Linked DNA regions of Elephas maximus indicus. The protein of the gene in region 1 purifies or fractionates together with the protein of each later gene. This does not show direct contact. Links are inferred from orthologs where the notes say so. Each region holds a gene or a part of one and is shown in the gene's direction. Other genes may lie near its edges. The genes, in order: bromodomain-containing protein 8, JAZF1 and MRGBP.

The links.
Region 2: the proteins of bromodomain-containing protein 8 (region 1) and JAZF1 purify together in Homo sapiens (affinity purification with mass spectrometry; 3 studies listed by BioGRID and IntAct, with this or other methods). This does not show direct contact. The link is inferred for Elephas maximus indicus from reciprocal best matches to the Homo sapiens genes BRD8 and JAZF1.
Region 3: the proteins of bromodomain-containing protein 8 (region 1) and MRGBP purify together in Homo sapiens (affinity purification with mass spectrometry; 10 studies listed by BioGRID and IntAct, counting the BioPlex papers as one, with this or other methods). This does not show direct contact. The link is inferred for Elephas maximus indicus from reciprocal best matches to the Homo sapiens genes BRD8 and MRGBP.

The regions. Positions count from the first base shown.
Region 1 is NC_064820.1:151,247,187-151,257,404, reverse strand, and holds the start of bromodomain-containing protein 8, read left to right. Parts: upstream 1-5,691; 5' UTR 5,692-5,856; coding exon 5,857-5,875; exon of another isoform or gene 5,876-5,881; intron 5,882-5,915; exon of another isoform or gene 5,916-5,934; intron 5,935-7,190; coding exon 7,191-7,287; intron 7,288-10,218. Other genes in the region: kinesin-like protein KIF20A, read right to left, coding at 73-216, 423-491, 586-697, 806-1,000, 1,177-1,306, 1,393-1,580, 1,705-1,843, 2,458-2,577 and 2 more. UniProt on the Homo sapiens protein: May act as a coactivator during transcriptional activation by hormone-activated nuclear receptors (NR). Isoform 2 stimulates transcriptional activation by AR/DHTR, ESR1/NR3A1, RXRA/NR2B1 and THRB/ERBA2.
Region 2 is NC_064826.1:89,341,730-89,352,195, reverse strand, and holds the start of JAZF1 (juxtaposed with another zinc finger protein 1), read left to right. Parts: upstream 1-5,938; 5' UTR 5,939-6,155; coding exon 6,156-6,270; intron 6,271-10,466. UniProt on the Homo sapiens protein: Acts as a transcriptional corepressor of orphan nuclear receptor NR2C2. Inhibits expression of the gluconeogenesis enzyme PCK2 through inhibition of NR2C2 activity.
Region 3 is NC_064843.1:5,189,215-5,199,183, reverse strand, and holds the start of MRGBP (MRG/MORF4L-binding protein), read left to right. Parts: upstream 1-5,565; 5' UTR 5,566-5,604; coding exon 5,605-5,752; intron 5,753-6,178; coding exon 6,179-6,300; intron 6,301-8,231; coding exon 8,232-8,313; intron 8,314-8,623; coding exon 8,624-8,698; intron 8,699-9,316; coding exon 9,317-9,504; 3' UTR 9,505-9,969.

The DNA.
Region 1 (10,218 bases):
GACCAGGAAGTGTCTTAGCAAATTGCAGAGCTTCAGGCCATCCTAACCCATAGCTTACAGTCAGGAGCTCACCGGTTCTGCTGGTTTTGGCGCAGGGCAGCAATACAGCGGCCAAGAGTATGCAGAGAAGTGTTAATGTTTCCTGCTTCCTTTAGCCGATCACCACTCTTCTGATCTTTGCAGCGCTCTGTGCCAGCCAGATCACAGAGTGACAACCTGGAATGATGGACAAGATTTAACATAAGGATCCTATATGTTATGTGCCTTCCAGCCCTTTATATAGTTCTGGAGAGGGGAGGGCCACCAAAAGTCTCTGTACCAAAGAAAGGAGAGCATAGGATCTACCACAAGTAATTCTGAGGGCCTCCCTCACACTACCATTTAGGGCCACGAAGCCCAAATTTCTAAATAGTCAAACTTACTCGCTGATCTTGGGGATTATATCCCCTTCTCCCTGGAGATGCAGGATTCGGATTGAGAAGATGCTATGACTGAAAGTTAAGAAAAGGGGAAAAGTTCCATGACTAGACGGAAGACATACGTTTACTGGAACACAGTGAAGGTTGACTCTCAGAACCCCCTCACCTGCGGCTGGAGTTCTGGTTCAGGAGGGTGCTGGCAAAACTCTGGTTCTTACGACCCACTTTCAGGAGTTTCCAGGCTTCCTCAGCATCCTGAACATGAATCCAATTGAGATCTGAGGCCAAAGGAAAAAAATGTATAAGATGGGAGCACCCAACTCTTTCCCTAGTTCTTCCCTCAAGTCCACTACAGGGTTCATGCCAGCCTCCCCACTTTCCCACACCTTTCACGTAGGGATTGCCGTTCTGATCTTCACACAACCGTAGAGTCTGTCTCTTGCGCTGCTGGCTAGGTGGTTCTAACAGGTCATAGATCAGCTCATTGTAGATCTCAAAGAAGGATATCCAGATGGAGAAACGAATGTCTGCTGGGACACTTACTGGGGCAGTGTCTGGCTGTGCCCATCGGTGACTTGTTTCTGGGGAAGAAGCCAACGTACAGAGCATCAACCCTAGAGTGTCCATCTCCCCTTTGGCCTGGGGATCCTTGGAAGGCAGAGCTCAGGCTGCAACCTCTGGTTTGTACCCCTGGCAGCTGCTGGGAACAGGGAATGGGTTCCTGTTACTTGGCCAAGAACCCAGTTATGGTACGTACCATCCAACTGGCTACTGCTGGTCAACTGACTAGTAGAGGAGAGCCCAGCAATGCCACTATCAAAGCTGGTGCTGGTACCCATCCGACTTTCAATGTAGACACTTCTCTTCAAGGAGGTGGACAGCTCCTCCTGGAGAGGCCCGGGGAAAAGGTTAAGCACAAAACTTTCCAGAGATTTGTACCACTACCCCACCTCTATAGACACCAACACTTCACCTCTTGGAGGCCTCCATTTAGCAGGGCTAGCTTCTTCATTTCTTCCTGCCGGATCTGCTTGCTGTCTAGCCAGATTACCTCATTGGAGAGCAAAGGCTTCAGATCAGGCGTCAGATGAAGTTGGCCTTGGAGGCTACTGAAGATCAGAGCCAGGGACCGGGGCAGGATCCCTCCATCCTTGATGGTCCCTAGAGGTTATGTGAAAGATGGACAGCTGAGGTAAGTGCCTTTCTCCCCCTAACTCACAGCATCGAAAGCAAAGACAACACCATTACAGGACAATCAGCAATCCTGTGAGGCCTTACCACTTACCTTGAATTGTGTGGGTTTTCCCTGAGTTGGTGACTCCATATGTATAGATGAGCCGGTTCTGCCCTCTGAGTACATCCTTTACCATCTCCTTCATTGTCAGGTTGAAGAAGGATGCCTGTCCCACTTCTGGCCCAAAGATCTAGAGACAGAACCAGTTCTTCAAAGGCCCATCCTTTATCTACCACTTGTCTCCTATGCAAACCCAGCAGATTCATTCCTTCCTGGGTGGTGGCTCTGGAGTCCACTTAAGCAGCTTCCTCCTACACTGCTACCAGCTGCTCCCTCAACACTGAAGATTCAACCAGTCTCTGTTACTACATCTTTCAGCCAAATCAACAGATACTTAAGGAACGCTGTACATTAGGTGCAATGCTGCACACACAATGGGGTAGTGTAACGGTCACAAAGGCGAGTTTTGAAGATGGATGGATTTGGATCCAAGTCCTAGCTCTACCACCAACTAGCTACATGGTTTTGGTAATGTTACTTACCTTCACTGTGCCAGAGCATCCTTTTCAGGAAAACAGGGACAATAATAGAGTTGTGAATAAATGCACATATAGTACTTGACAGAGTGAACTAGCAGATAACACAGACCCCCCAAATTGTAGGGGTGTATAACGGTGTTTCATAATGGTGTGTGTGTGTGAATACCCACAGACAGAGAGTGAGAGAAAGAAAAGCTTTCTTTCCAGAGAAAACAAAGTTGCCTCTACATGCTGGTCTCTTGTTCACAGCCCAGTACTTCCATACCTGGGAAAAGGTGAACCTGTGGGTAGCTTGGCCAATCCCACGTTCATTGCTTTTCAGGGCAAAAGAGTCCTTGGGTGCTTGTAGAACAAGAGTCTCTGCGTTCTCGATGTGGATACAACTCTGAGAAGGGGGGAAACATGGTTGTCACAGAAGGAAAAATTCCTGGGAACCTCTTCTGTACTGTATCATTCCATCTTGAATTGTCCCTCCTCAGACACTTACCTGATCCTCCTGCCGTTCCAACTCTGAAGGTAACAAGGGTCTGATCCTCAGGTATACTTTCACCTTCTCTGTACTATCCTCAGATAGAACCTGTGGCAGAATTCCAGCCCGGAACCACATTAATCTCAGCTGTCACCTCTGAGCAGATGGACAAACACAGCATAGTTCCTAGGAATCATGCTGGCACTACCCCAAAATTACGGACTTTTTCACTAATCTGTCACCCTTCCCTGTCTCATCAGTATCTTGCAAAACTAGCTTGCAAGATAATTGCTACACCAATTATCTGAGTTAGAAGTGGTGCACCAGGATAGTCTGGTAGTTTACAGTGAGAGACATCAAGATCCCTGCCTCATGAATCTCTCTATAGGAGAGGAGGCTTCTGGGTAGAGTTTTTCTGAAGACAAAACATGTTAACATATGTTAAGCATTTAACATTGGGTCTAGTACAATGGCTGTCAACCAAGGCCTTTCCCTGTCCCCTTGCCCCTGTGGACACTTAGCAGCATCTGGAAACATTTTTAGTTGTCACACTGGGGAGGTGCTACTGGCATCTACCGGGTTGCGGCCAGGAATGCTGCTGAACATCTTACAATGCACAGGACAGCACATCCCCCCCCCACAACAAAGAGTTATCCAGCTACCAACAATAATGTGGTTGAGAAACCCTGGCCTAACAGAAAGAAGGGTTCAATAAAAGGAGCCCTAGTGGTGCAACAGTTAAGCTCTCAGTTGCTAACCAAAAGGTTGGCGGTTTCAACCTACTCGGCAGCTCTGCAGCAGAAAGACTTGCTTCTGTAAAAATTATAGCCTAGGAAACTCTATGGGGCAACCAAAAACAATAACATGGTTGATATTATTAAAACATGAGTATAAGTTCCACCTACTTAATGGTAGTATAATCTTGTGTGAATAATTTAACATGTATGTGCCTCATGGTAAAAGAGAAATAACTATTATACCTCCCTCACAGGAGGAACTAAGAGCATGCACATAACATTTCACTGATGCAAAACAAATACTAGTTCTTATGGACATATGCATGTGAAAGCTGGACAATGAATAAGGAAAACCGAAGAACTGATGGCTCTGAATTATGGCATTGGCAAAGAATATTGAATATACCAAGGGCTGCCAAAAGAATGAACCGATCTGTCTTAGAAGAAGTACAGCCAGAATGCTCCTTAGAAGCAAGATGGTGAGACTTCATCTGATGTACTTTGGACACATTATCAGGAGAGGCAAGTCCTTGGAGAAGGATGACGTCATGCTTGGTAGAGGGCCAGCAAAAAGGAGCAAGACCCTCAATGAGATGGACTGACATGGTGGCTGCAAGAGTGGGCTCAAACAAAGCAATGATTGTGAGAATGGTGCAGGACCCAGCAGTGTTTCATTAAGTTGTGCATAGAGTCACTGTGAATCAGAACTAACTCGACAGTACCTAACAACAACATCAACACGGATACATACCTCTATGTTTTTTACTTGTCCTGGCACTTAATTTTAAACTCTCAGACCCCTGTATGGACTAGTAGGCTGGGGTTATCACTTGCTGCCTCCAAACAGCTCCTTTACCTGCTGCTTATCCTCCAGGGAGGTGGAGATGACAGAGCAGTCTGAAAGCAGGTCCTTGCGTATCACAGACCCCAAGTCTGCAGCTGTAGACTCAAACATGGGGGAGACTGCAACCTCCTCATCAGACAGCAAGCCCACTGGCGGAGAAAGGATCCCTTGAGACATGACAGCAAGGGCAGGTTTGGTCTAAAAAGAGACAAGAGTGGATAGGGAGAAGAACCTTAGGGACAGAAGGGGCCTGTGAATTTCTAGGTAAGAAACAATGCCCTTGCCCCAGGACACCTGGTCTGGACGCCTGAATTCCTACTGCCTTTTCTTTCCAAGGAAACCCTGGTGGCATAGTGGTTAAGTGCTACGGCTGCTAACCAAAGGGTCGGCAGTTCGAATGGGCCAGGCACTCCTTGGAAACTCTATGGGGCAGTTCTACTCTGTCCTATAGGGTCGCTATGAGTCGGAATCGACTGGACAGCACTGGGTTTCGGTTTTTCTTTCCAAGGAAACCCTGGTGGCTTAGGGTTCAGAGTTCGGCTTCTAACCAAAAGGTCGGCAATTGGAATCCACCAGGAGTTCCCTGGAAAACCCGTGAGGCAGTTCTACTCTGTTTTACAGGGTCACTATGAGTTGCAATCGACTCGACGGCAACGAGTTTGGGTTTTTTTGTTTTTGTTTTTGTTTTTTTTGCTTTTTCTTTCCAAAGTCTTGCAGAGGGAAAGGGGTGGGAGGAGTTAATTCCTTAACCCAGTCTCAGGCGGCATTTCCATCTTAACAGAAAAGAACAGAGATATCTGGCTCTAAAAGCAGAGAGCCACGCTCCAAGTGCAGTGCCTCGCCCTCCGATACTGTGAAACACGGGCGGAATCCAGAGTTAGGATCCGGAGGCTGCTTCTCCAAACTCGCCCCAAGGCCAATCGTGAATGTAGAAGTGTTCAGAAACAGAGAGATGGCAGCAGCTCCGCTCCTGAAAACACGTTCAGGGAGGGCAAGAGTTGTTAACCCCGGTTCCAGCCCAGGCGCACACTTACCCGAAAGCCGAGACACTCGCTCCCGCTCCGGTACCAGCTTGCTCACACACAGCAGCCGAACCTGGACCTGCGCCGCGGAGGACCACGACTCCGCCCACGAGGCGCAGCTTTGTTACTGATACAATGTTTTAAATTACGCGCTGCGTTCGTTCGACCAATCAGATAGCAAAGCCTGCAGTTACCAATCAGAGCATGGAAGGAGGGCGGGCGAGACTAGGAGACCGTTTGCTTTAGGTCGACCTCGCTTCGGTTTTGCGCGTCCGGGTTACCAACTGCCGCGAATCTGTTGTTGGGTCCCCAGGGATTCGTCACCCTTAACTGTTTTCTTGAACCCTAGACATTTCTTTCCTAAGAAGTCTAAAGGAAAGCCTGAGGTTTCAGCCGCCATCTCCTGTCCTTCCTTAGCAACACCTTCTGAGGAGCGCTCCAGAGGATTGGATTATTGTGCTTGCTTCCTCCCGGGAAAGAACTACATTTCCCAGGAGCCACCGCGAACAAGCGCCCGTACTCTATTTCCCAGACTTCCACAAGGTTCGCTTTGGCTGAACCCTCGTCGGAGCTTGGAGACTTCGAAGCTAAGATGGCGGCGGGAACGGGCAGTGAGTGTCAGTGCTTCTTTTGCGTGGAAAGCCTTAGTAGAGCCGAGGATAGGCACCAGGTTTCTGTCACACACTTAGAGAGTGGGAGGAGTGGTTTGCCTGAGAGCCCAGGGTCTTCAGAGACCTGCGCTGTACGGCGTCGTGAAGGCCAACGGTTAGAGGCCCAGAAGTGCAGCGTCTTGTGTCTCTGGGAGAGAGGGTGTGAGGGAAGCATCTCAACGAATCCTAAAGGGATAAAGGCCCTTAAGAAACTTGGGCGTGCAGACAAAGAGACGTTGTGCGCCTTACGGAGTGGCCGGCATCTCAAAAAATCATTCATTTTTTAACGAACGTTTGTGAGGCACTGGAAATAAGATGTTTTAACCGGGAGCTTTTTCTGCCTTTAGGGTAATTGCGTTTCGTGCAGCTCAGCCATTTCCCTCCGTTTGGTGGATAGAAAAGGTCTTTTAAGTCCCACAGTAAACAGCGGGGGTGGACTGACAGAAATAAGCAAGTTTATGCTAAAAAGGAGGCGGGGCGGCAGGAGGAGGTGGCCGTTCAGATTCTGGGAAGTAAGCCCTTGTTTTAAAATTGGAAGAAAATATGAGTGAAATAAGGCCTTTCGAGAGAACTGCTTAATCTGACATTAATGTTTTAATCTGACATTAATGTTTTAATCTGACGTTTTCTGTTTTTTAATGAAGCGAAGCTTGAAGCTGTGGCCTTTAAGAAAGTAAAGTGTTCTTCTGCCTTATTAAAAACTCATTGCCATTGAGAAGATTCTGACTCATACTGACCCTATACAACAGAGTAGAACTGCTCCACAGGGTTTCCAATGCTATAATCTTTACAAAAGCAGACTGCCACATCTTTCTCCTGTGGAGCTGCCTGACCTTTCAGTTAGCAAGAAAGTGCTTTAACCACTGTGCCAACAGGGCTCCTTCTACCTTATACTCAGTGCAGCTACCATGTAATGGATAAGTACCACTCTCTAGTGGTGATATTTCACTGTATGGGTGGATATCAAGATTTGGGAATACTGTTGCTGTGGAGATGATTCTGACTCATAGTGCCCCTATGGGACAAAGTAGACCTGCCCCATAGGGTTTCCAAGGCTGTAACCTTTAGAGGAGCAGATTGCCACATCTTTATCCCGTGAACAGCTGGGGTGTTAGAACCATGGACCTTTAGGTTAGCAGCCCAGTGCTTATCCACTGCACCATAGTAGCCCATTTTGTTCTAACACGTTGGGATGTTTTGTATTAGGCCTTTAGTTCTCCCTTTGGGGCTTAGAACTAGTGTCTCAGTGGTTGTGCTAAGCCTTCTCTCCTTTTAGAACACAAGCTGCTGAGTACTGGCCCCACAGAGCCATGGTCCATCCGGGAGAAGCTGTGTTTGGCATCTTCTGTTATGAGGAGTGGAGATCAAAATTGGTAAGGTATCTAGGAGGTATGTTTTTTTAGGTCTTAAAAACTGTAGGATACTTTTTCATGCTGGTGGATTTATATAGTTAATCATATTAACCTTTAAGTACTATTTTTCTTTTTAAAAAGCACCTTTATTGAGATGAAATTCATATACCATAAAATTAATTCATGTAAAATATACAATTCAATGATTTTTAGTATAAGCACAGAATTGTATAACCATCACCACAGTCTAATTTTGGAACATTTTCATTACCCCAAAAAAGGAACCCTTTAACAGTCACTCCACATTCCCACCTTCACTCATCTCTTCTAGTCCTAGGCAACCACTGACATAGTTTCTGTCTTGATAGGTTTCCCTATTCTGGGACATTTCATGTAAATGGAGCCATATAATATGTGGTCTTTTTTTGTGACTGGCTTTTTTCACTTAGCATAATGCTTTTAAAGTTTATTCTGGTTGTAGCATGTATTAGTGCTTCATTCCTTTTTATGGTTGTGTAATATTCCATTGTATGGATATACTACCTTTTTTTTAATCCATTCATCAGTTGGTAGACATTTGGGTTGTTTCCAACTTTGATTATTTTGAATAGCCCTGCTTTGAACATTCTGTACAATTTTTTGTGTAGACGTGTTTTCAGTTCTCTTGACTATATATGTAGGAATGTAATAGCTGGGTAACTGTATGTTTAACTTTTTAAGCAACTACCAAGCTGTTTCCCAGAGTTGTACCATTTTACATCCCCATCAGCAATATATGAAGGTTGCGTTTTTATCATATTCTCGCCAACAGTTGCTGTTGTCTTTGATTATAGCCATCCTAAAGGGTAAAAAAGTGGCATCTCATTGTGGTTTTGATTTGAGTTTCCCTGGTAACTAATGATTTTGAGCATCTTTTCAGGTGCTTATTGGACATAATGATGGGGCCCCTGTGGTGCAGTGGTTAAGTGTTTGCCTGCTAACCAAAAAGTCAGCAATTCGAATCCACCAGCTGTTTCCTGGAAACCCTGTGAGGCAGTTCTACTCTGTCCTGTAGGGTTGCTATCAGTCGGAATTGACTTTACAGCAACAGGTTTTACTTTGGTATTAGACATATGGCTATCTTATTTGGAGAAATTTATTCAAGTCCTTTGCCCAATTTTTTTATTAATACAGTTTATTTTTTAGAGTAGCTTTAGGTTTGTAGAATGTAAAAATGGCATGGGAGCAGACTCTGACCTCTTCACTTTTCACAAGGGGAAAGGAGAATCAAGATCAACAGTCCAAGGCTGATTGCTATGAGGTGGAGGTCAGTCATGCCTCCTTTATCTGCCATCTATACCATTTCTGTCACCAGCCATCTTTCCCACAGCACTTTCTACTTCTCTCCTGGGTTTAATAGTTCATTGCAGTGGCCACACAGAACTCACAGACAATGCATACAATTTGGGGGTTTATAAGGGAAGTAACAGGTTATAATTCAGGCTTAGGAACACTCAGGATACAGTTCTTCCATCAGGACAGCCACTTTTCAGCTGTGCTTGCAGTCGTACCCTCTGGCCCTGGGCCTCTGCTCTGCTCAGGCAAGGGTTACAAAGCTCTTTTAGCCCCTACCCATAAATCCCAGAGGCACCCAGGTACTCAGCATTCTTGCCATATGAACTGGGAAGCCCGCTGCACAGTCTACTGCTGGTCTCTCCTGCCACCACTTTTTGCCATCTTCAGGGTTACAACTTGATCGCTTTCTTTCTATGTCTCCTGGTTCCAGGAACTTCTCAGCACAGGGATCCCGGGTCCAAAGGATGTGCTCTCCTCTCCTGGCTGTTCTTTCTTGGTGGTGGTGGGATCCTCTCGTTGCTCTGGAATTGGCTCTATTTTAAGGCAGAATTGGCGAATCTCCTTGGTGGGCCACAATTACCCTATTTGTGTCAAGAAAGGCCACACAAAAGCGATCTATCGCATCACAAGAAAAATTCCACAGAAAAGCATGCAGATTTCCCATTTTTAATTGGGTTGTTTAAGTTTTTTTTTATTATTGAATTATAAGAGTTTTTAATTCTAGACACAAGTACCTTATTAGACAGCACAATTAAAGATGAGAAGGAACAGCTGCAAAATCTATTTAATAATCAACGTGGAATATACAAAGTATGAATCTAGAAAAATTGAAAGTAAAAAATGAAATGGAAAGCTTTAAAATAGATATCCTAGGCATTAGTGAGATGAAATGGACTAGTATTGGCCATTTTGAATCTGACAAACATATGGTATGCTAGTATTGGCCATTTTGAATCTGACAAACATATGGTATGCTCTGCTAGGAATGACAAATTGAAGAAGAGCGGCGTTGCATTCATTGTTATTTATTCATTGCATTCAAGTACAACATTGTCAATGACAGGATAGTACCCATATGCTTACAAGGAAGACCAGTTCAGATTTACACTCCAACCGTTAATGCCAAAATTGAAGATTTTTACCAACTTCTGCAGTCTGAAATTGATCAAACATGCAATCAAGATGCATTTGATAATTGCTGGTAATTGGAAGGCAAAAGTTGAAACAAAGAAAAATCAGTAGTTGGAAAATACGGCCTTGGTATAGAAACGACACCAAACAGCACATAATAGAATTTTGCAAAACCTTTTTTCAACAACATAAATGATGACCATATATGTGGCCCTCACCAGGTGGAATACACAGGAATAAAATCAAGTACATCTGTGGAAAGAGACAATGGAGAACCTCAACACCATTAGAACAAAAGTAGGGGCTGACTGTGAACAGATCATAAATTGTTCATGTGCAAATTCAGGTTGAAGCTGAAGAAAATTAAATCCATGAGAGCCAAAGGACAACTTTGAGTATGTCCTACCTGAATTTAGAGACCATCTCAAGAGTACATTTGACACATTGAACACTAATGACTGAGCACCAGATGAGTTGTGGGATGAT
Region 2 (10,466 bases), on another chromosome or scaffold:
AGGATGTGGGCCAGGCAATCCTCTAGGGTGTGGGATAAAGTTATTAGACCTTCTATTTGTAAAAAATCATCTTCTTAAAATATCTGGTTTGTTTTTATAACATGCATACTATATTTGAATAGCACTGCCTTATATAATTTGGAGGAGCCCTGGTGGCACAGTGGTTAAATTGCTCTGCTGCTAACTGAAAGGTTGTTGGTTCAAACTCACCAGCCACTCCACGGGAGAAAGATGTGGCAGTCTGTTTCTGTAAAGATTACAGCTCTGGAAACCCTATGGGGCAGTTTTACTCTGTCTTATAAGGTTGCTATGAGTCAGAATGGACTTCGGTTTGGTTTATACAATTTGTAAACAAAAATAAATATTCATGGGATCAGGGTTCAATTTTTTTTTTTTTTTTAATTTGATGAGGCTCTTAATAAAAAGGTTTGGGAACCGCAGATGTAGAGAAAAAGGAAGACCAGTAAGCCAACAGTCAAAACAGTGCAGAGGGAGTTTGGCTGGAGAAAAGATGATAAGCATCCAGCTGGTCAGAGTATGGAGATATAGGGAAGACTTCCTGGAGGAGGTAGCAGGTTGAGTTACTAAAGTGTATTTGGTTGGGGGAGAGGAAGGAAGGGAAAAAGAATGTTCCAGGCAAGTGACATAACTGGTGCAAAGGGGTCCCTAGAGAATACTGTGCATTTGAAAACTAAAAGTAATTTGGGAGAGCTTGAGCCATCAATATACGTGCGGGAACTGAAAGGGGTAAGGCTGGGAGGCTTCTTCAGAGAATAGATTATGAAGATCATTGATAAATATATTCTGCTGGTGAAAGGTTACCCCTGAGGAATTCCAGTAGAGAAGGATGAGATCATGGAGCAGTGTTCCCAACTAGCCCAGTCTCTGTCGACACTTGCCTGAGTCCTAGAGGAAAAGGACTGCAACAGTGGGAGGTGATAAAACCTCAAAATGCTGGCACAAAAAAGGTGCTAGCAGCATTTGTAGAGACAGAAAACCCTCAACACTGGGCAATGCTAGGGGGGCACTGATAACTCCTAAGGATACATCTCTGGGCAAAGGCTATGAAGTCTTTTACAAGCATTAGTGCCTCAGTGGCTCCCTTACAGTCAACAACATCAGGAGTTACCACCTCAGTGGGTCAAAGCTGCAACAGGAGCCTTGCATAGATGTTCAATCGAGATAATGAGCAAATGAAATCGTGACAGTTTAGCTGCTGTAATGACCTTATTTTAAATCTCAGGCTGGCCTGGCCTGAGAAGCAGTGGTTCCCTTCAGATTTAGGTTTGGAGCTATCGTCCTGGTGCGGGCGTGGCAGATTAAAGAAGGGTGGTGGACACAGGAAGCCCAGTTAGAACTGCAGTCATTGGCTGGGTATTTCACTAATTTAGTTCTGGAGAAATCCTGCAAGGAATTGGAAATGAAATGCCATCTGTTACGTATATAGTCAGTACGGCAGAAGCAGTGCCGTAGAGAGCTGAAGGGTAATGCCCATAAGAACTGGTCGCTGGTGGCACCCGACTAGAGAACTCCCCATTACCCAACCTAAGAAAAAACCTAAGACCAACCCTAATTCTAGGCAAAATGAGAATTAATCACCAAAGAGCTGATTTGTTTCTGAGCTGGAGTAAAATTAATGCAAAGAATTTGGGGACTTGGTTGCATAAATATTAAACAAGAGGAACTGGAACAGTCGTCGTCCTCCTTGGAAGAAGGTGGGGCCTCAAGAAAACATTCCGCTGAGGCCAAGGGTGGTGGAGGTGGTAGCCTGAGTCATTGTTAGAAGAGACCATGAAGACGTGCGCTAGCCGGAGAAGACCTGGGTTCACGGTCTGCTCATTCTACACAGTAAAAGCAATGCCCGAATCCATTAAACGGCTTACTTATGGCTGTTGTTGCTGTTAACTGCCATCTAGTCAGCCTTCGACTCAGGGCAAGTTAATGCACAACGAAATGAAATGCTTCCTGGTCCCGCGCCATCCCCAGAATTGGTTGGGGCTGTGGATCCATAGGATTTTAATCAGCTGATTTTTGGAAATAGATCACCAGGCTTTTCTTCCCAGTCTGTCTCAGTCTGGAAGCTTTGCTGAAACCTGTTCAGCATCATAGCAACACGCAAGGCTCCACCGACAGATGGTGGTAGCTATGCATGAGGTGTATGGCTGGGAATTGAACCCAGGTCTCCCACATGAAGGCGAGAATTCTACCACTTCACCACCAGTACCGACTGCTTATGTCTAAAAAAACCAAACCATTGCTGTCTAGTCGTTTCCAACTGTAGAGTACAGAGTAGAACTGCCCCATAGGGTTTCCAAGGAGCGGCTGGTGGATTAGAACTGCTGAGCTTTTAGGTTAGCAGGCGTAGCCCTTAACCACTACACCACCAGTGCTTATGTCTAGTGATCCTGAGAAGCACCGTAAGAGGACTTGGGAAACAACCCAGAAAACCTGATAAAATCAAGAGTTGAAGACAGTATCAAGAGTTAACTTCAAAAAAGAACCCAATGTTCGTAAAGATGCTCTCGTAGCGCTAACAGGTTTCCGTGCCGGGCCTAGGAAGTACACGGTTTTCATTCTGAGCGTATCCCTAAATCACCCTCCTCTTGTAGGTGGAGGTCGGACAGCTGCGTAAAGCAGGAGCCTTCTGTGGCTTCCATGGATTCAATCAGACCATTGGATTCAGTCTAATCCAATGGTGGCTTCCCCATCCCATGGGCAGTGGCGGCCATGCTGACTTTTGGGACACTGCTTCTGGATTCCAAATCATTTCTAGATTCTGGAATCTAGACTAGAATTATTTGTAATGCTAAATACCAAGCTCTGGGGCCGTTATAGGTCTGGGCCTATGGTTTCAAATAGAAAGTCCAGGCAACACTTTTAGCCTGCAGCCGCCATAATATCCATCTGATTCAGCAATTTCTTTGAAATATTTTTATTACTCAAATCAGACAGACAAATGTCCTTTTTTTTGCAAGTACAGAGGTGTATCAGTCGTCACTCTCTCTTGGTCACAATAGGTTGGAGTGTTCGTTTTATATATTCTTATAGCTTAGATATTGACTTTATCTGAAGAAATACCCCTGAAACAGACATTTTTTTAAATGTAAGTTCACAAGGGTAAATATGCCATTGTAAAACATTTTTTTTTAAATGTGGTTAGTATATCTTTGTCCTACACTGGTTAAGTGTTAAGGCAGCTAATCGAAAGGTCAGCAGTTTAAATCCACCAGCTGCTCCTTGGCAACCCTAAGCGGGGGGTAGTTCTACTCTGTTCTATAGGATCACTATGAGTCAGAATTGACTCGATGGCAACGGGTTTTCAATGCCTTACTGAATGTGGGTAGTGGTGGTACAGTGGTAGAATTCTCACCTTCCATGAAGGAGATCGGTTTGATTCCTGGCCAATGTACCCCACGTGCACCCGTCTGTCAGTGGGGGCTTGCATGTTGCTATGATGCTGAGCAAGTTACAGTGAAGCTTCTAGACTAAGAGGGTCTAGGAAAAAAGGCCTGTTAGTCTACTTCTGAAAAGTCAGCCAATGGATCACAATGGTCAGCTCTGGTTGTGCATGGGGTTGCCAACGGTGGGTGGGGGGTGGTGACTCTGTGGCAGCTAACAACGCCCTAGTGAGCACTTTACAAATACAGAGAATAGACTGGCTGCGTGTGCTTGGGAGAACTCACTTGATGCCTCTGGCCTCCTCAGTTTACACATTCACAAAATCAGTGTGTCTGATGGCCAGAATGTCTTTCATATCTAAAAGGCCATGATCTTGTATATCATATCAAGGCCAGAAATGCCTAGAGTTTGCAGATTCAAAAAAAAAATTATATGAACAGAACATTACATTGCAAAGCTTCAGTGATACATGAAGAATTAACATGGTGACTTCATATAAACTGATTATTTACAAAATATTAATAATTACTCATGGTGAAGGAACAAATTTAATCTTGATTCATTTTATGAGTTGTTTTGGCTCACTTCATTAAAAAAATTCCATTTATTAAATTTTCTATCAAAGTTTTATTTTAAGAATAGAGAAATTGATGGCAGGTAGAGGAGAGCTAAGCGTTAGTGGAACCCAGTCCTTATACTTCCTTCCTCTTTCACCTGCACATTTCCCGTGTTTCCCACCTCCTGAACTCAGTTGTCTGAACCATCTCTGTCCCTCTCCTCACTCTCTCTGGAGACAGTAATTCCACATAGACAGTTTTTCCTCCACACATCAGAGCTGCTACTTCTTGGTGCTTTTCAGATGCCCTGTGGTAGACATGCCTAACATTCAGGTCTAGGGGAGGCTGTTTTGGACCATTCTGGAGAAACTTTTGCATTGCATTTCCATGTCTCTTGGTGTGTCTGCCAGATAGTCTGCCTGCTTCTCTGCTGAAGGCCCTTCCAGACTGGGCAGCTGAATGCATTGCACAGCAGCCAAAATTGTAGTTCAAGATCTAGAATTCTAACTCCTGCTCTTTAGACCCTTTTCTGGCCATGGCCCCAGTCTCCCATGAGCAGGTTCCTGGCTCATTATCAGGCCCACCCAGGCCCTGCACCCACCCTCAACTGGGCCCAGGAAACCATTCTTGGACACCAAACTGAACTTGAAGGACACAACTACTCCAGCCCCACCCAACCCAATTCTCATCTCAGCACAAGTTAGCCACATTCTGAGATGGGAGACAGAAGAGATGGGGGATGCCACAGGTGAAGGCTGTCGGATTGTAAAACTTTTTGCAACAGAAATACTACATGTGCCTTTAAATACTCAAATGAAAAGCCTTAATAACCCCATTATTAGAAACACTACAGGTGAATATAGTATATGGGGGGGGAATACTATTTTCTCAATGTATCTGAACCAGAGGGTAAATGAAATTTGCCCTAAGGAAAATGCTAAATTTAGTATACAGGAGTCAAGTAAAAAAAGCACTTTTGGATCATAAGCAGCTGACAAGGCCTAATATTCTCAGGCATAAGGGAAGTACTTCTGGAGAACACATACTTTACAGATCAAACTGTGAGTGCCATTGAGGCTGGGGTGGGGGTGGGGAACAAGGAAGTAATTGATTCTTAGCAAAATGCTGGTTTCCAGGGAAGCTACCAAATTAAGATGAAGTGCTTAGCTGGTCAACATTAAATGCTTACAGGATAGTGCAATCTTCATGGACTGGAAGAATATCTTCACTTTTAAATTAAGAGTAAGTACGTGCCTTGACCCTGTTTCTCCTCCTTCTAGCCTTAACCAAAGCATGGTCCTTTCTGCTGGGCAGCCTTCATCCCAGGGTGACAGCCTTGCCATGGTGGTGGGATGTTATAGTGTGGGCTAATTAAATTATTTTAGTTTTTGTTTTCCCAAAAGGATCAGGGAGTACAAACGTGGTACATATGTAAAACGCATCAAATGCATTTGACGACGAAGCACTCTATTTTAAAATTTAAATAAAGCTAAGATTTTCTTCTGGCCTAGAGGGAAACTTCATTAAAATCAATTAGTACAAACCTCCAGAGAATATGTTTTTTTTTTTTTTAGGGAAGGTTTAAAGAGTAAGGTGCACACAATTACCTTTCCTGGGTCCCTTGTGAACGCCAGTGTCACACCTAGCGAGGTGACCAAGTGCAAACAAATGTCCCCGAGAGGGATCCGGGGAAACTCCCTGAGTTCTCATCGCCGGGATGTACGTGTAATTAAGAGATGTTATATATTAAGAACGCAATACACCTTACCAAGAAGGCTCCAAATAAATTGTTCGCATTACAAACTGTGAAGGGCAGGCCGAGCGAGACAAAGTTGGGGACAGGAGCTCCCAGGTGAGGCCTCGGTCCGGGCAGCGGAGGTTAGGGCCGCACAGCTGTTGCCGCGCGCCCTGGTCCCTCCTCCCAGCTGCGGCGGCCTCTCTCCCACCCCGCCCTCCCCCCGCCGCTCCCGACGCCGCCGCCGCCGCCTCCCCTCCGCCTCCCGGTCTCTCCTCGCGCTCCTTCCATCGCTCTCGCCCCCTCTCCCTCCGTCCCGTCCTCTCCGCTCCCCTCACCCCGCCTCTCTCCCCCTCACCCAGCCCCTCCTCTCCTCACCCCACCCTGCCTCCCTCCCTCTCTCTGCCCGCCCGCCCGCCCGGCGCTCACAGAGCCGACACCAGGGGGGCTCTCGATGTAGCACCATGACAGGCATCGCCGCCGCCTCCTTCTTCTCCAATACCTGCCGATTCGGGGGCTGCGGACTCCACTTCCCCACCCTGGCCGACCTCATCGAGCACATCGAGGACAACCACATCGGTAAATGGCCCAGGGGTGGGCGGGGGTGCCCGGCGCGCAGAAACTCCTGCCCAGGCGAGAAGCCCCAGAATGGCCAGGGGTGGCCGGGAGGGAGGGAGGCGGCGGCGGGGCGGGGAGGGTGTGTGCGAGCCGGGGGGCGGCGGGCTGCGGAGGTGCGGGGTGCGGGGCCGGGGAGAGCAGGGCGTGGGTGGGGGAGGGGGCGCCCCGAGGTGCGGCGGGCCAGCTGGGGGAGTCCGAGGGGCGTGCGCGCGGGCTGCGAAGTGTGGGAGTGGGGGTGCACCGGGGCGGGAGGAGCGACCGGCGGCGGGGAGATGCCGCGGCGGGTCCGGCGCCGGGGGAGGGGGCGCCGGGCGCAGGGCGCGGCGGGGTCGTGCAGTCGGCTCTGGCAGGGGCGCGGAGTTAGTTGGTCGCGGCGGTCGGAGCGGCCTGAGGCGCCGGGGGCGGCGGGGGGTAGGCGCTGCACGCCGCCTGCTGCTTCCGCCCCGGCTCGAGCTGTCAGGGCTCGGCGGCGGCTGCAGCCGCCGGGAGGTGGGAGCGGGGGGGCGGGGGTGGCTCCACCGCGGCAGCCATTCCGCTTCCTCCTCCCGCCGCCGCCGCCACTGCGTCCTGTCAGCGCCGGTTGCTAGGTGTGGTGTGTCGGGAGGGGGCCTGAGCCGGCGGCCGCGCGCGGAGGATGGGGCGCTCGCCCTCTCCCCCCGCGGCAGCTGAGCTCGCCAGGTCGGGGACGCGGGGCTGGGCGCCCTCGGCGCCGGCTCCCTGCCCCGGCCTGGGCGGACGCCGGGGGAGCTGCGGGCTGAGGTCCGGGTGCACGGCGGGCCGCGCCCAGCGCCCCGGGGCCGGGCTGCGCCGGAGGCCCCGGCGGCTGCCTCCGCTGGAGAGAAATCCCCCGGGGCCAGCGGCTGGGCATTTAAATGCGCCCCGGTTCTGCGATTTGCCTTTCAAATGGTACTAGGCCCGAGGAGCGCCGGCTGTGCCCAGGGATTGGCGGCGGCGGCGGCGGCCTGCGCAGCGCCCGGGGCTCAGAGGACGCGGGGGAGGGGACGCCCCGCGGGGCGGGTGGTTTCGCTTCACGCCCAGAACCCGCGAACCTTCAACAAGTCCTTTAATTCGCACAAGTCCTTGCGCACATTCACACGTGTCCATCTGAAACCCCTGCGAAGGGAGATGGGCCGGGCTTGTCTGGCCCAGGCGACCCAGCCACCTGCGGAAGGTGTGGCCGGCGTCCGCAAATTGTCCTGCGGGGGCTGGAAGGTGAAGGGCCGCGAGATGCCCCATGGCGGCTGTGAAATCCAGGGAACCAGTAAACTGCCCCGGAAAGCCTTTTCCAGATCAATGCTACGGATTCAGCTGTGGGGATGCACCTCACGTTTCTACCAAGTGGAGAGAATAAATCACGACTGCTGTGTATTTAGGCACGAGTAAAATGAAGCAGAGCGTATGCTCCTTTGCTTAGGATAATGCTTTCTCTTTGCGCACAGTGGGTGCTTAATTAGCATTGGATGCCGGTTTAGAGTGCGATTTAATGGGCCATCGGATTGGGAAATAATAAAGGAAAATATCTGCAAAATGTTTTTTAAAAGAAAATTGTGTGAGTAATTATCCAGGTTTTGAAACTTTCAAAGTTGTAAAACATCCATCTTCTCTGATAAAGGCGTGACAGAAAAGCTGGGTGAGTTTTGGTAGACTTAAATAAAAGCAGGAGTTTAATGGAGTAACACATTTGCTGATTCATATCATGATCGAATGGTCATACTGAAAGTGCTTGAAAGAATAAATCAGGTTTTCATGATATCTGGTTTAAAATCATGCTAAAACTCCAGTAATGCAAATTGCAATAGAAATTTTGTTATTTCGAATTCCTTCCTCTATTCCCCATCAGCCAATAACAAATAAAAATAATAATAATAAATATTTCCTGCCCCAGGGAAGGCTGTCATTGCATATCCCATTCATTTTCCATAACAGTTATTTCAGGACAAACTAATTTATGTAAGGTAATAATTTTGGCCCATTGCCTGCCTACGTGGAATAGCTAGTTAAAAGAAAATCTAAATTACATTTATTAAAATATGTTAAAGGTAGTCATCCTTCTTGAGCATTTAAATCTTACAAAAAAAAAATTAAATCTTAGACCCTTTAAAACTAGTTGTTGGTGAATCACAAGAGTTTTTTTTCTTTTTGTTTGCAAGCATTGTCTTTAATATTGTGCAAACACGTTTTAAGAGGGCTAGGAGTTCCATAAATTTTCTAAAACTCAACTTTTAAATAATGGTATGTCACCCCCTGAAAGGCTAATGTTTTTATTTTAATAGTTAAAATGTGAAAAAATTATGTTTATAGCAATAACTAACAATACTGTGGGCAGGGCTTACAATTATTATGTTTGGGAAACAGTTTGAAACTGCCAGACTTTATGAAAAGTAAATGTTAAAATGAGCAAACACTTGAGGTTATCAGGGTGAAGAGGACAACAAACTATTGTGTACCTCAGCCCAGGAAAGGCACCTTACCTTTAAAGGTAGCCCCATATGCAAAAATAAATAAGAACTTGTCTCAAGAAGAATAAAAACAAGCTGATTGGTAGGTAGTGCCATGTAGATACACTTTCAATGAAGAGACTTGAGTGGAAATATATCAGACAAAGCGTTTAGTGAAAGTTCTATCCATGTGTTATGTAGTATTTACTGTTTCTGGATCAGTCTCTAAATTTTTGGAGAAAATTGATGGTTGCATTTCGTAATTAATATTACTGATTGGGTGTCATTATTAGGGAGTGGCATATTAAGAAGGTGCATGAAAAGACTGTTAAGAGTTGTATATTGTTTTGTCTTTAATTTATTCAAAACCAGTTACCCTTGCGTCCATTCTGACTCCTGGTGACCCCACCTGGGTCAGAATAGAGCTGTGCTCCATAGAGTTTTCAGTGGCTGATTTTTCCAGAGGTAGATTGGCAGGGCTTTTTTTCGAGGTGCCATTAGTAGCTGTTCGCATTAGTTGTTGCACAATCCAGGGCCTTTTAATTTATTCAGGAACCTAACACTCAATCATAACAGTGTTAGAGATATACTTAGGTGAGGGTTCCATCTTTGGGACCTTTCTGGTTATTACCTTTTAACCGCTAGTCAAAATCCATAAGCAGTAGTAAAATGAAGGTTTATGGGAATAGTACATATTTCTTGATTTTTCAAGGCCTGAAGTTTTCACTATAACTACATTAACAGTTAGATATATTAAGTTCATTAAGTTGAGGGTAGCTGTCTCTGTTATGCATGTACACTTAAGCTCATGTTTTTAACCATTTTCCTGTTCCATTAAGAAACGAGGATTTGGGGCTTTAGAACCAAGGGAAGTGTGATTTCCCCACCCTCTGTTTTAGCTGTTTTCCTTTCTCCTGGAAGAGTGCTTTATCTGTTTTCCCTTTCTTCTTTGCATTTCACTGCTGGTCCGGTGCTGAAGCACCTGTCTCTGTGTACAGCTTGAGTATCCCAGCTAAAGCCCCCTCCCCCCCATCCGGAAATCCCCCAGCCCTAGAACTGTGAAGTGCTTCTCCCTCCAGCTTCACTGTCAACAAGAAAAGCTGATCAGGATTTGTTTGCTTCTTAGACTGAGTAGATGCTTGAGGTTGTAGGAACACTCTTGACATGTGCATCCTAGATTAAACTGGTAACCAGGAATCATAGAAACACCAAGAGCACTAAATTTAGCCCTGAAGGTCATGTCACAGACTCATGAAATGCCTCCTGTGTCCCTGCATCCCAGTGCTATGAAGTCATTTGGCTTTTGGTCTCAGAAAGACAACCTGTTTAATCATTCTTACTTGGTGAATTATTTAAAGGCTATGCTTGTAAAAGTACTTCTGCATTTTGAATTTATTTAATAATATATATTGAGCACCTACTTTGTGCCAGGCACAGATCTAGGCACTTGGTATTTATTGGTGAACAAAACAGAAAAAGATAGGAACGTTTGGGAAGCTCACATTCTAGTGGAGGGAGACTGATAATAAGCAATAAGCCTAAGAAGTAAATGATACAGTATTTTGGAGGGTGGTTGGTGCTATGGGAAGGAGGAAAGCTGAGCAGGGTAAAGGGGGTTTGGGAGGAGGGAGTATTGGAATTGTAAATAGGTTGGCCAGGATAGGCCTCTCTGGGAAGCTCACAGGAAGGTGGTGAAGGAGTTAGCCATGAGGACATAAT
Region 3 (9,969 bases), on another chromosome or scaffold:
ACGCCCCGACTCCCCCGGGCTTCGCCCAGAGCCACCTCAAGCCCCACCCAGACTCCACCCAGGCCCAGTCAGGCCACGCCCCCACCCCCCACCACCTCTGGCCTTAGCCCCGGCTTGCGGGGCGGCGGTGGATCCCCGAGGGCCCACCACCTCTCCCCCAAGGCACGCGATCTAGGCCGGCTGGGCGCAGACGCCCCTTCCGGTGCACAGTAAGACCTCAACTGGGGAGTGGGGCGTGAGCCCCCATGCAGTTTGTAGCCGGGGCGGGACGGATGTGCGCGCCAAGGGGCACAATTAAAGCCAGTGAGCGCTGGCCCACCCCACCCTGCACGGCCTGGCAATAGCGTCTGTTCTGCTCTTTATTTTTATGACGGCTTTACTGAGATAGAATTCACATAATATACCATTCACCCGTTTAAAGTGCACAGTTCAATGGTGTCTGGTATACTCAGGGTTCTTCAACCGTAACCGTGGTCAATTGTAGAATGTTTTCATCACCCCAGATAGAAACCTGTACCCGTTATATTGCACAAGGCAGGAAGCATCAAAAGAAAATGGAAGGAATACATAGTCCCTGAACCAAAAAGAATTAGTCAACGTTCCACCATTTCAGGAGGAAGCGTATGATTGTCCTAGGGTAAAATGGCCACAAGGTCATATTAAAGCAAAAAGAAAGGTTTTATTCGGCCTAAATTCAAAGAGGCAAAAGCAGGAAACGGACACACCTGCTGCCAGAGCCACGTCTGCCTGAGTCTGAGGAATATTACAGAGTAGGCAAAGTGGGAAAACGGACACGCATGCTGCCAGAGCCACGTCTGCCCCAGCCCAAGGAAAGCAAAAGAATCATCAGTAGATATTGTTACAAATGAGTAAAATCATTGAAGGCTTCGCCTTTTCACAAATTGGCTGAAAACTGCTAATTCACAGCGATTCTGCATTTTCAATTGTCTTTCTTAGTAATCATTGGTACGGGTTTCAGTAACAAGAGTCAGGAGGGTTTTCATTAGTCCAACGAGTCTTACTATTTACTAAATGCCAGTAAGAAGAGATAAGAGTGGGAAATATGTAGATCATTTTCCTCTGTTTATGATTTATTTATGTGAAACTTTTCCTAAAAGATATTTTCCAAGATTGTCCAGCTGTTGTCTTTATACCTCAGCGCCCAGCTGATGTGTCTTTGTGAGTCCAGCTCCAGCTGGGCCACATTCTTTATACTCAAGGACAGGAAATAATGGCTCCAATTTTAATCTCCTAAATCGTGATCAAGAACCAATGGTACTGAAGGAAGAAGTCTAAGCTGCACTGAAGGCATTGGCAAAAAACAAGTCTCCAGGAATTGATGGAATTTGAATTGATATGTTTCAACAAACGGATGCAGCACTGGAGGTGCTCACTCGTCTATGCCAAGAGATTTGGAAGGCAGCTACCTGGCCAACCGCCTGGAAGAGGTCCACATCTGTGCCCATTCCAAAGAAACATGATGCAACAAAATGCAGAAATTATTGAACGATATCATTAATATCATAAACAAGTAAAATTTTGCTGAAAATAATTTAAATGCAGTTGCAGCAGTACATTGACAGGGGGCTGCCAGAAATTCAAGCTGGATTCAGAAGAGAAGGCGGAACCAGGGATATCGTTGCTGATGTCAGATGGATCTTGGCTGAAAGTGGAGAATACAAACAGATGTTTACCTGTGTTTTACTGACTATGCAAAGGTGTTCGACTGTGTGGATCATGACAAATTATGGATAACATTGTGAAGAATGGGAATTCCAGAACACTTAATTGTGCTCATGAGAAACTGTACATAGACCAAGAGGCAGTCATTTGAACAGAATAAGGAGATACTGTTTGGTTTAAAATCAGGAAAGTTGTGCATCAAAGTTGTATTCTTTCACCATACCTATTCAATCTATATGCTGAGCAAATAATCCAAGAAGCTGGACTATGTAAAAAAGAGCTCGGCATTAGGATTGGAGGAAGACTTACTAACAACCTTTGTTACACAGAGGACACAACCTTCCTTGCTGAAAGTGAAGAGGACTTGAAGCACTTACTGATGAAGATCAAAGACCACAGCCTTCAGTATGGATTACACCTCAACATAAAGAAAACAAAAATCCTCACAACTGGACCAATGAGCAACATCATGATAAACAGAAAATATTGAAGTTGTCAAGGATTTCATCTTACTTGGATCTGCAATCAACACCCATGGAAGCAGCAGTCAAGAAATCAAGACACGTTGTATTAGGCAAATCTGCAGCAAAAGACCTCTTTAAAGTGTTGAAAAGCAAAGATTTCACCTTGAAGACTAAGGTTCGCCTGACCCAAGCCATGGTGTTTTCAATCACCTCATGTGCATGTGAAAGCTGGACAATGAATGAGGAAGATCAAAGAAGAATTGACACCTTTGAATTGTGGTGTTGGCAAAGAATATTGAACATACCATGGACTGCCAAAAGAATGAACAGATCTGTCGTGGAAGAAGTGCAACCAGAATGTTCCTTAGAAGCAAGGATGGTGAAACTATGTCTCACATACTTTGGACATGTTATCAGGAGAGACGAGTCCCTGGAAAAGGATATCATGCTTCGTAAAGTGGTAAAGTAGGTCAGTGAAAAAGAGGAAGACCCTCAACAAGATGGATTGACACGGTGGCTGCAATAATGGGCTCAAGCATAACAAGGATTGTGAGGATGGCTAAGGATCGGGCAGTGTTTTGCTCTGTTGTACATAGGGTCACTCTGAGTCAGAATCGACTCAACGGCACCTAACCACAACAACAACAATATAAAGGGATGAAACACTGACACATGCTACAACATGGATGAACCTAGAAAACTGAGGGAAAAAAGCCAGTCACAAAAGAATACCTATCGTAGAATCCTATTTATATTAAATTTCTAAAAAGGCAAATCTCTGGAGACAGAAAGTAAAGCAGTGGTTGCCTGAGCATTGGGACAGGGGAGGTTGGGGAGAAATGGGCAGTGATTGATAATGGGTTGTTGTTGTTGTTGTTAGGTGCCCTTGAGTCACTTCTGACTCATAGCAACCCTGTGTACAACATAACAAAACAATACATGTTTGATCAATTTCAGACTACAGAAGTCTGTAAAAAAAAAACTTCCATTTCTTCATCTTTGGCCTCAGTGGTTGAGGCATAGATTTTAATAATAGTCATATTAACCAGTCTTCTTTGTAGGCATATGGATATTGTCATGGATTGAATTGTGTCCCCCAAAAATGTCTGTCAACTTGGCTAGGTCATGATTCCCTTGTATGATTATCTACCATTTTATCTTCCGATGTGGTTTCCCTAGGTGTTGTAAATCTTATCACTATGATGTAATAAGATGGATTATTGGCAGTTACATAGATGGGGTCTACAAGATTAGATAGTGTTTTAAGCCAATCTCTTTTGAGATATAAAGGAGAGAAGTGAGCAAAGAGATGGGGGACCTCATACCACCAAGAAAGCAGCACCGGGAGCAGAGCGCATCCTTTGGACCTGAGGTTACTGCGCTGAGATTCTCCCAGACCAAAGGAAGATTGATGACAAGGATCTTCCTCTAGAATCAACAGAGAGAAAAAGCCTTCCACTAGAGCTGACGCCTTGAATTTGAACTTGTAGCCTACTAGACACTGAGAGGATAAATTTCTTTGTTTAACCATCCCCTTGTGGTGTTTCTGTTATAGCAGCGCCGGATGGCTGGGAGAGATATCACGCCGTCACTGGCAGTGTTGTACTTCAGCATAGCTCTTGAAATGTTCTTTCTGATGATAAATGCAGCACCATTCCTCTTCACCTTGTCCTTCCTGGGACAGTAGACCATATGACCGTCCAATTCAGAGTGGCCGGTGTCAGTCCGGCTCAGCTTCCTAATGCCCAGGGTATCCGTGTTTACAAGCGCCGTTTCCTTTTTGACCAATTTTCCTAGATTCACACTTCGAACACTGCACCTTTAGATTATGAATGGATGTTTGCAGCTATTTCTTCTCATTTTGAGTCGTGCCGCATCAGCAAATGAAGGTCCCCAAAGCTTGACTCCATTTACACCATTAAGGTCGACTCTACTTCGAGGAGGCAGCTCTTCCCCAGCCGTCTTCTGAGTGCCTTCCAACCTGAGGGGCTCAGCTTCCAGCACTATATCAGACCATGTTCCGCTGCTATTCATAAGGTTTTCACTGGCCAATGCTTTTCAGAAGTAGACCACCAGGTCCTTCGTCCTAGTCTGTCTTCGCCTGGAAGTTCAGCCGAAATCTGTCTGCCGTGGGTGACCCTGCTGGTGTCTGAATACCGGTGGCATAGCTTCCAGCATCACAGCAACATGCAAGCCCCCACAGTACAACAAACTGACAGACACGTGCGGGATTCCTTTATATGGCTGAACAATATTCCATTGTACGGATGGACCATGTTGTGTTTATCCATTCATCAGTTAGTGGGCAATTGGGAGGTTTCTACTTTTGGCTACTATGAAAAATGCCGCTATGACCATTCTTGTACATGTTTTTGTGCGGACATGTATTTTTCTTCTCTCTTGGGTAGATACCTAGAAGTGGAATTGTTGGCTCCAACGGTAATTCTGTTTAACCATTGAGGAACTGCCAAAACTGTTTACACAGCAGCTAAACCATTTTACATTTCTTCAGCAATGTACTAGGGTTCCAATTATTCCACATCTCTGCCAACACTTGTTTGTTTCTGGGGTTTTCTTTGCTATTTTTTGTTTGTTTGCTTTCTTATTCTAGCCATTCTACGGATGTGATGTGGTATTTCATTGTGGTTTGATTTGCATTTCCCTGATGCCTTTTAGCCATCTATCTATCCTATTTGGAGAAATGTCTATTCAAATCATTTGCCCATTTTTTAATTGGGTTTTCTTTTTATTATCGAGTTGTAAGAATTCTTTATGTATTCTGGATATGAGTCCCTTATCAGATATAACTTGCAAATATTTTCTCTCACTCTGTAGGTTGTGTTTTCACTTTCCTAATGATGTTCCGGAAACCCTGGTGGTGTAGTGGTTAAGTGCTATGGCTGCTAACCTAAAGGTTGGCAGTCCAAATTCGCCAGGCGCTCCTTGGAAACTCTATGGGGGCAGTTCTACTCTGTCCTATAAGGTCGCTATGAGTCGGAATCAACTCGACGGCACGGGTTTTGGTAATGATGTTCTTATTTTATTTTATTGTGTTGAAAACAATACATAACAAAACATTCGCCCTCACAACCATTTCTACATGTACAATTTAGTAACATTGATTACATTCTCCAAGTTGTGCAGCCATTCTCGCTATCCTTTTCCAACTTGATGCTCCTCTTTTTTTTTTTTTTTTAGCGTTCTTTTTAAAATTGTGCTTTAAAAACAAATCCCCAAATTATAAGTGTCACAGCGCCAGTCCCCGCACACGTGGGCGCTGCGCCGCGGCAGGCTGTCGCCAGGGGGCGCGGCTGGCGCGCACCGCGCCCAAGCAACACTGCGCCTGCTCAGGGCCAGAGCGCGAGCCCGAGCGCGTCCCGCAGTCGAGCGCGCGCCTGCGTGTGCGCCTGCGCGGAGCGAGGCCGCGCCTCCCGCCGGGTCAGCTCGGCCGCCGGCCATGGGGGAGGCCGAGGTGGGCGGCGGCGGCTCCGCGGGCGACAAGGGCCCGGGAGAGGCGGCCACCAGCCCGGCAGAGGAGACAGTGGTGTGGAGTCCCGAAGTGGAGGTGTGCCTCTTCCACGCCATGCTGGGCCACAAGCCCGTTGGTGAGCGCGCCGGAGGCCGCGGACTCGCGTGGGGGCGGGGCGGCAGGGTAACCGTCGGGGGCCGGAGGGCGGGGCGGCGGCGGACCCACCCCACCGCGCGGACCCCCCCCACCGCGCGGACCCCCCCCCACCGCGCGGACCCTCCAAACCGCGTGAGCCCCCTCCCCACTGCACGGACCCCCCCAAACCGCGCGGACCCTTCCACCTAGCGGGCCCTCTCCACCCGGCCCCTCCCGCTCATCCCTGCCCTTTGCCACTGTGGATCCCCCCTTGTACCCCCCCACGGACCCCTTCCCCTCCTGTTCCCCCCATCTCTGTCCCCCCACCAGCCGTTGCTGTCCCAACCACAGACACCTGCTGGCTTCTCCTGTCCAGCCCGTGCCCCTTTCTTCTGCCCCCTTACCTGCTTCCCAACGCCTCTGGCAGGTGTGAACCGGCACTTCCACATGATTTGCATCCGGGACAAGTTCAGCCAGAACATAGGGCGGCAAGTCCCATCCAAGGTTATCTGGGACCACCTGAGCACTATGTATGACATGCAGGCACTGGTGAGCTTTGACCCCTGATCGTCCTGTGTATAGAATCAGAGCTCTTCATCCCAGACTGAGCTCAGACTTCCTTGCATGGGTAGCTGAGGACCCCCACAGGACAGGCCCGGCCCTCATGCAGTGGACAACAGGGCATTAAACAAGGGCTCTCTCGCAATAGGGCACCCAGTTTGTGGAAACCAAGCTTGCTGGTGGAAGCCAGTCCCTGGTGGGCCCTGGGGTGGGTCTTCCAGCACCAGGCACTCAAGTGCAGGCAGCGTAGCTACCTGGACTGCTAGCTGAGCTCAGGGAGAGGCAGCAGCATCGCTAGTCTGTGGGAAGTCCCGGCGTGCTGCAGGCAGGAAGGGGACCTCTGTGGCTTCTCATGGAGCCAGCAGAGCTCATAGCTGGCAGCCAAAGGGCGAGTGGGTTAACTAGGGAACCAGGACGGAGCTGCACTGGACAGGGCGGGGTTATCAGGTGACCAGGGGAGTGGGCACCTCTGCTGGTGCTGGGACCCACTGTGCCCCACGCACTGAGTTGGGTGCACCAGCCCCTGGCCAAGGCCTGGGCAGCACATCGGCGAGGCCGTGAACATATTGGCCTTTTTGGGTTCAGGTTCTGCTCTTCCACTCACTGCCGGTTGTCCTGGGCGAGTTCCCCTCTTCCTAGTTGTGAAGAAGGGAGGAAGATGGTAGCCATGCTGCTGTGGGCTGCTGTAGGCAGGGGTGTGAGTAGCCGGTCGTGGGCACAGGGGAAGCTTTAGTTGCTGTTACTGCAAGTGACTGAGCTTGGGCACTGGTCACTTATTCCTTGTTACTACTCTCTGGGTCAGTGGCAGGCCACACCCTGCCACTTCCAAATGACCTAGGGTGCCGAGGGGTCAGCAGTGCCCAGATTCTCCCCACTCAGCAGAGCACGGACTCAGCCAGGCTATGAAGGCCCCGGGCCTGCCCTCTCGACACCTGCCCTGTAACACCGTAGGGTGACCTGTGAAAGGTAGTGGGGGCACCAAGCCCCAACCCTGGGCTAGCAATGGTAAAAGCTGGGGCTCAGAGAAGCCTATGCAGCACAGTCCCTGTCCATGGCCCGCTCCTGAGGTGGGCTTGGCTCAGGATCACAGTCATGTGAAGTCAGGCCCGAGGCAGCCAGGCTGTAGAAACCGCCCCTGTGAGCTCAGGGGGATAGGGAGTGCCAGCCCCTCCCCTCCCTGCCTTATTCCTGTAATGGCTCCTTACGTCACTGGGGGAGGGAGACGTGGGGATGGTATCTGTTCTAGAACAAGGACCACACAGGCTGACTCCAAACCACCAGGACCCATCCCGGCAGATGGATTTCAAGGGCCCGGAGTCTGTGGGGTTTTTGGAGTGCACAGGTTTTGATTGGCACATGTAAGCCTGCAGGTGTGGGCAGGCTACCTGGCGGAACACAGCCCACCTCCCAGGTCAGCCAGGACTGTCCCACCAGCCCATCTTTCCCTCCCGTCTGGTGGTCCTGCCTTTCCAGGGTCTCTGTCCCTTCTGGGACCCATGGCCTAGAGGACAGGAGAGCCCCGATCAGAGTCCATTGGTGAGTGTGCTCTGCTGCTTTGCCTCCTTACCCCTGAGAGGCTTCACCCAGCTTCCCTGAGTGTCGCCCACGTGGACAGAGGTGGCAGCACTGTGTTCTGTCAGCCCCTCCCTGCCCTCTGCCCTGCACTCTGAGTCGGCTGTGGTCTGGCCAGCTCTTGGGTGAGCAAGCTGTGAGCCAGTTGTGCAGCACCTACAGCGTTGCCTCTGCCCTGGCTCTGGGAGTGTGTTAGTGGGTAGGCTGGGCCGCTCTGGGTGCTACTTGTCCCCACCCCCAGGACACTGGGTGTCTACATTCATTCGTTGCTCCTGCATACACTTTTAATGGCTGAAATCACATTTTCTTCATTTCTTAAAAAAACATTACACCCTCTCTGACGTCAGCATGAGTCCGAGATCCTCCCCTTTCCAAATCCAGAGAGGAACTTCGTCCTTCCAGAGGAAATCATCCAGGAGGTCCGAGAAGGTAAGACGCAGGCCACTGAAGTGGGGTTTGGAGACTAGTAAAAGGCGGGAGCTGGCTGAGGGCGGCAGCACTGGGTGAGGCCACGTGCCAGGGAGGACCAGGGTCTGGGAGGGGAGTGAATGGGTACTTAGGGGCCCCGCTCAGCCTGGACTTGGGGGCCAGGGGACTTCCACAATAGGAGAGGGTTCTTTCCTTGAAAAGCGGTGCGGTAGAATCCGTGTGCCGTCTGCAGCGTTGGCTGGCCTTGCCCTGGCTCTGCTGCTCACCGGGTGAGCCTCCCCCAAGCAGGGCCGTCGGTCTCCCTCCACAGGAAAAGTGATCATTGAGGAGGAGATGAAAGAGGAAATGAAGGAAGACGTGGACCCTCACAATGGGGCTGACGATGGTGAGTGTGAGCGGTGTGCATCCCCCACCCCAGAGGACAGGCACAGCACCCCTGTGAGGCACCCACAGCGTGGATATGCATCACCGCTTTCCTCAGCAGGAGCGTCAGCTTGCTGGCTGACCCCTTTTTAATGCTCTGGCTTAGTATAAACGTTGGCTCCGACCTGCAGGGTGGGAACGCTGAGGTGCGGTGACACTGTCACAGCCATCTGGGGCCAATAGGGCAGCAGCACAGCCTCAGTTACTGGTCGGGGCGACGTGGTCTGTTCAACATAGAACACAGACAAGACAGCCCCACGGGTGTTTCCTGTGCAGCTGTGTGAGCGCGGTTAGAGGGTGCAAGGGGTGAGGCTGCTGTCATGTCTGTGGCAGAGTCCTTGAGGCCTGAGGCCCTGACGGTGGGAAGGCTTGCTCAGGCCCCTTTCGGGCAGAGACCGCAGCTTGGTAGAGACTCTGGAGAGCTGCGTGTGTATGTGTGTGTGTGTGTGTGTGTGCACATGTGTGCGCACGCATGTGGAGCACTTGAGCTGAGCAGGCAGGCGAAGCGAGAGTCTGGACCTTCTGTTTCCAGCGTGACTGGCACTTACAGCCGAATTTTTCTTTTTTTTTTTTCAATCAGTATTTTCATCTTCGGGAAGCTTGGGGAAAGCAGCAGAAAAGTCCAGCAAAGAGAAAGAAAAGAACTCCTCAGATTTAGGATCCAAAGAAGGGGCAGACAAGCGCAAGCGCAGCCGGGTCACCGACAAGGTCCTGACAGCAAACAGCAACCCTTCCAGCCCCAGTGCTGCCAAGCGGCGCCGGACATAGACACCCCATGCTGGGCAGCAGCAGAGAGGTGGCTACGGGTGGGGGGGGCGGAGGGAGTGCAGTCAGCGGGGGTCATTGGGCCCCAGCACTGACCGTCTGGTGCTGCCTGCATCAGCACCGGGGGACGTGCCATCTGGCCAGGGAAGCGGACAGAGGCTTCATGGTGCCCACTGAGACTCTGGGGACTCTGTAGGACCCTGAGGGACTCCAAAGGACGAGGGACAGCTCACCTCAGATCTTGAGGGCTGCACAGGGGTCTCAGCTGTCTTCTCCTGCGTGCACGTTGCTTCCTGGGACGCCTGCTTAGCTCCTGCCTGGGCTGCTGCAGAGGGCCCCTGAGGGACCCCTGTGGAGCAGGGTCCGGACAAGGAGAACGTGTTCGAGCTGGCAAGCAATAAAAATGCCGTTTTCTCTCTGTCCTCAGAAGTAGCCATTAGTCTTCCCCGGGGACTGACTCCTCCTCCT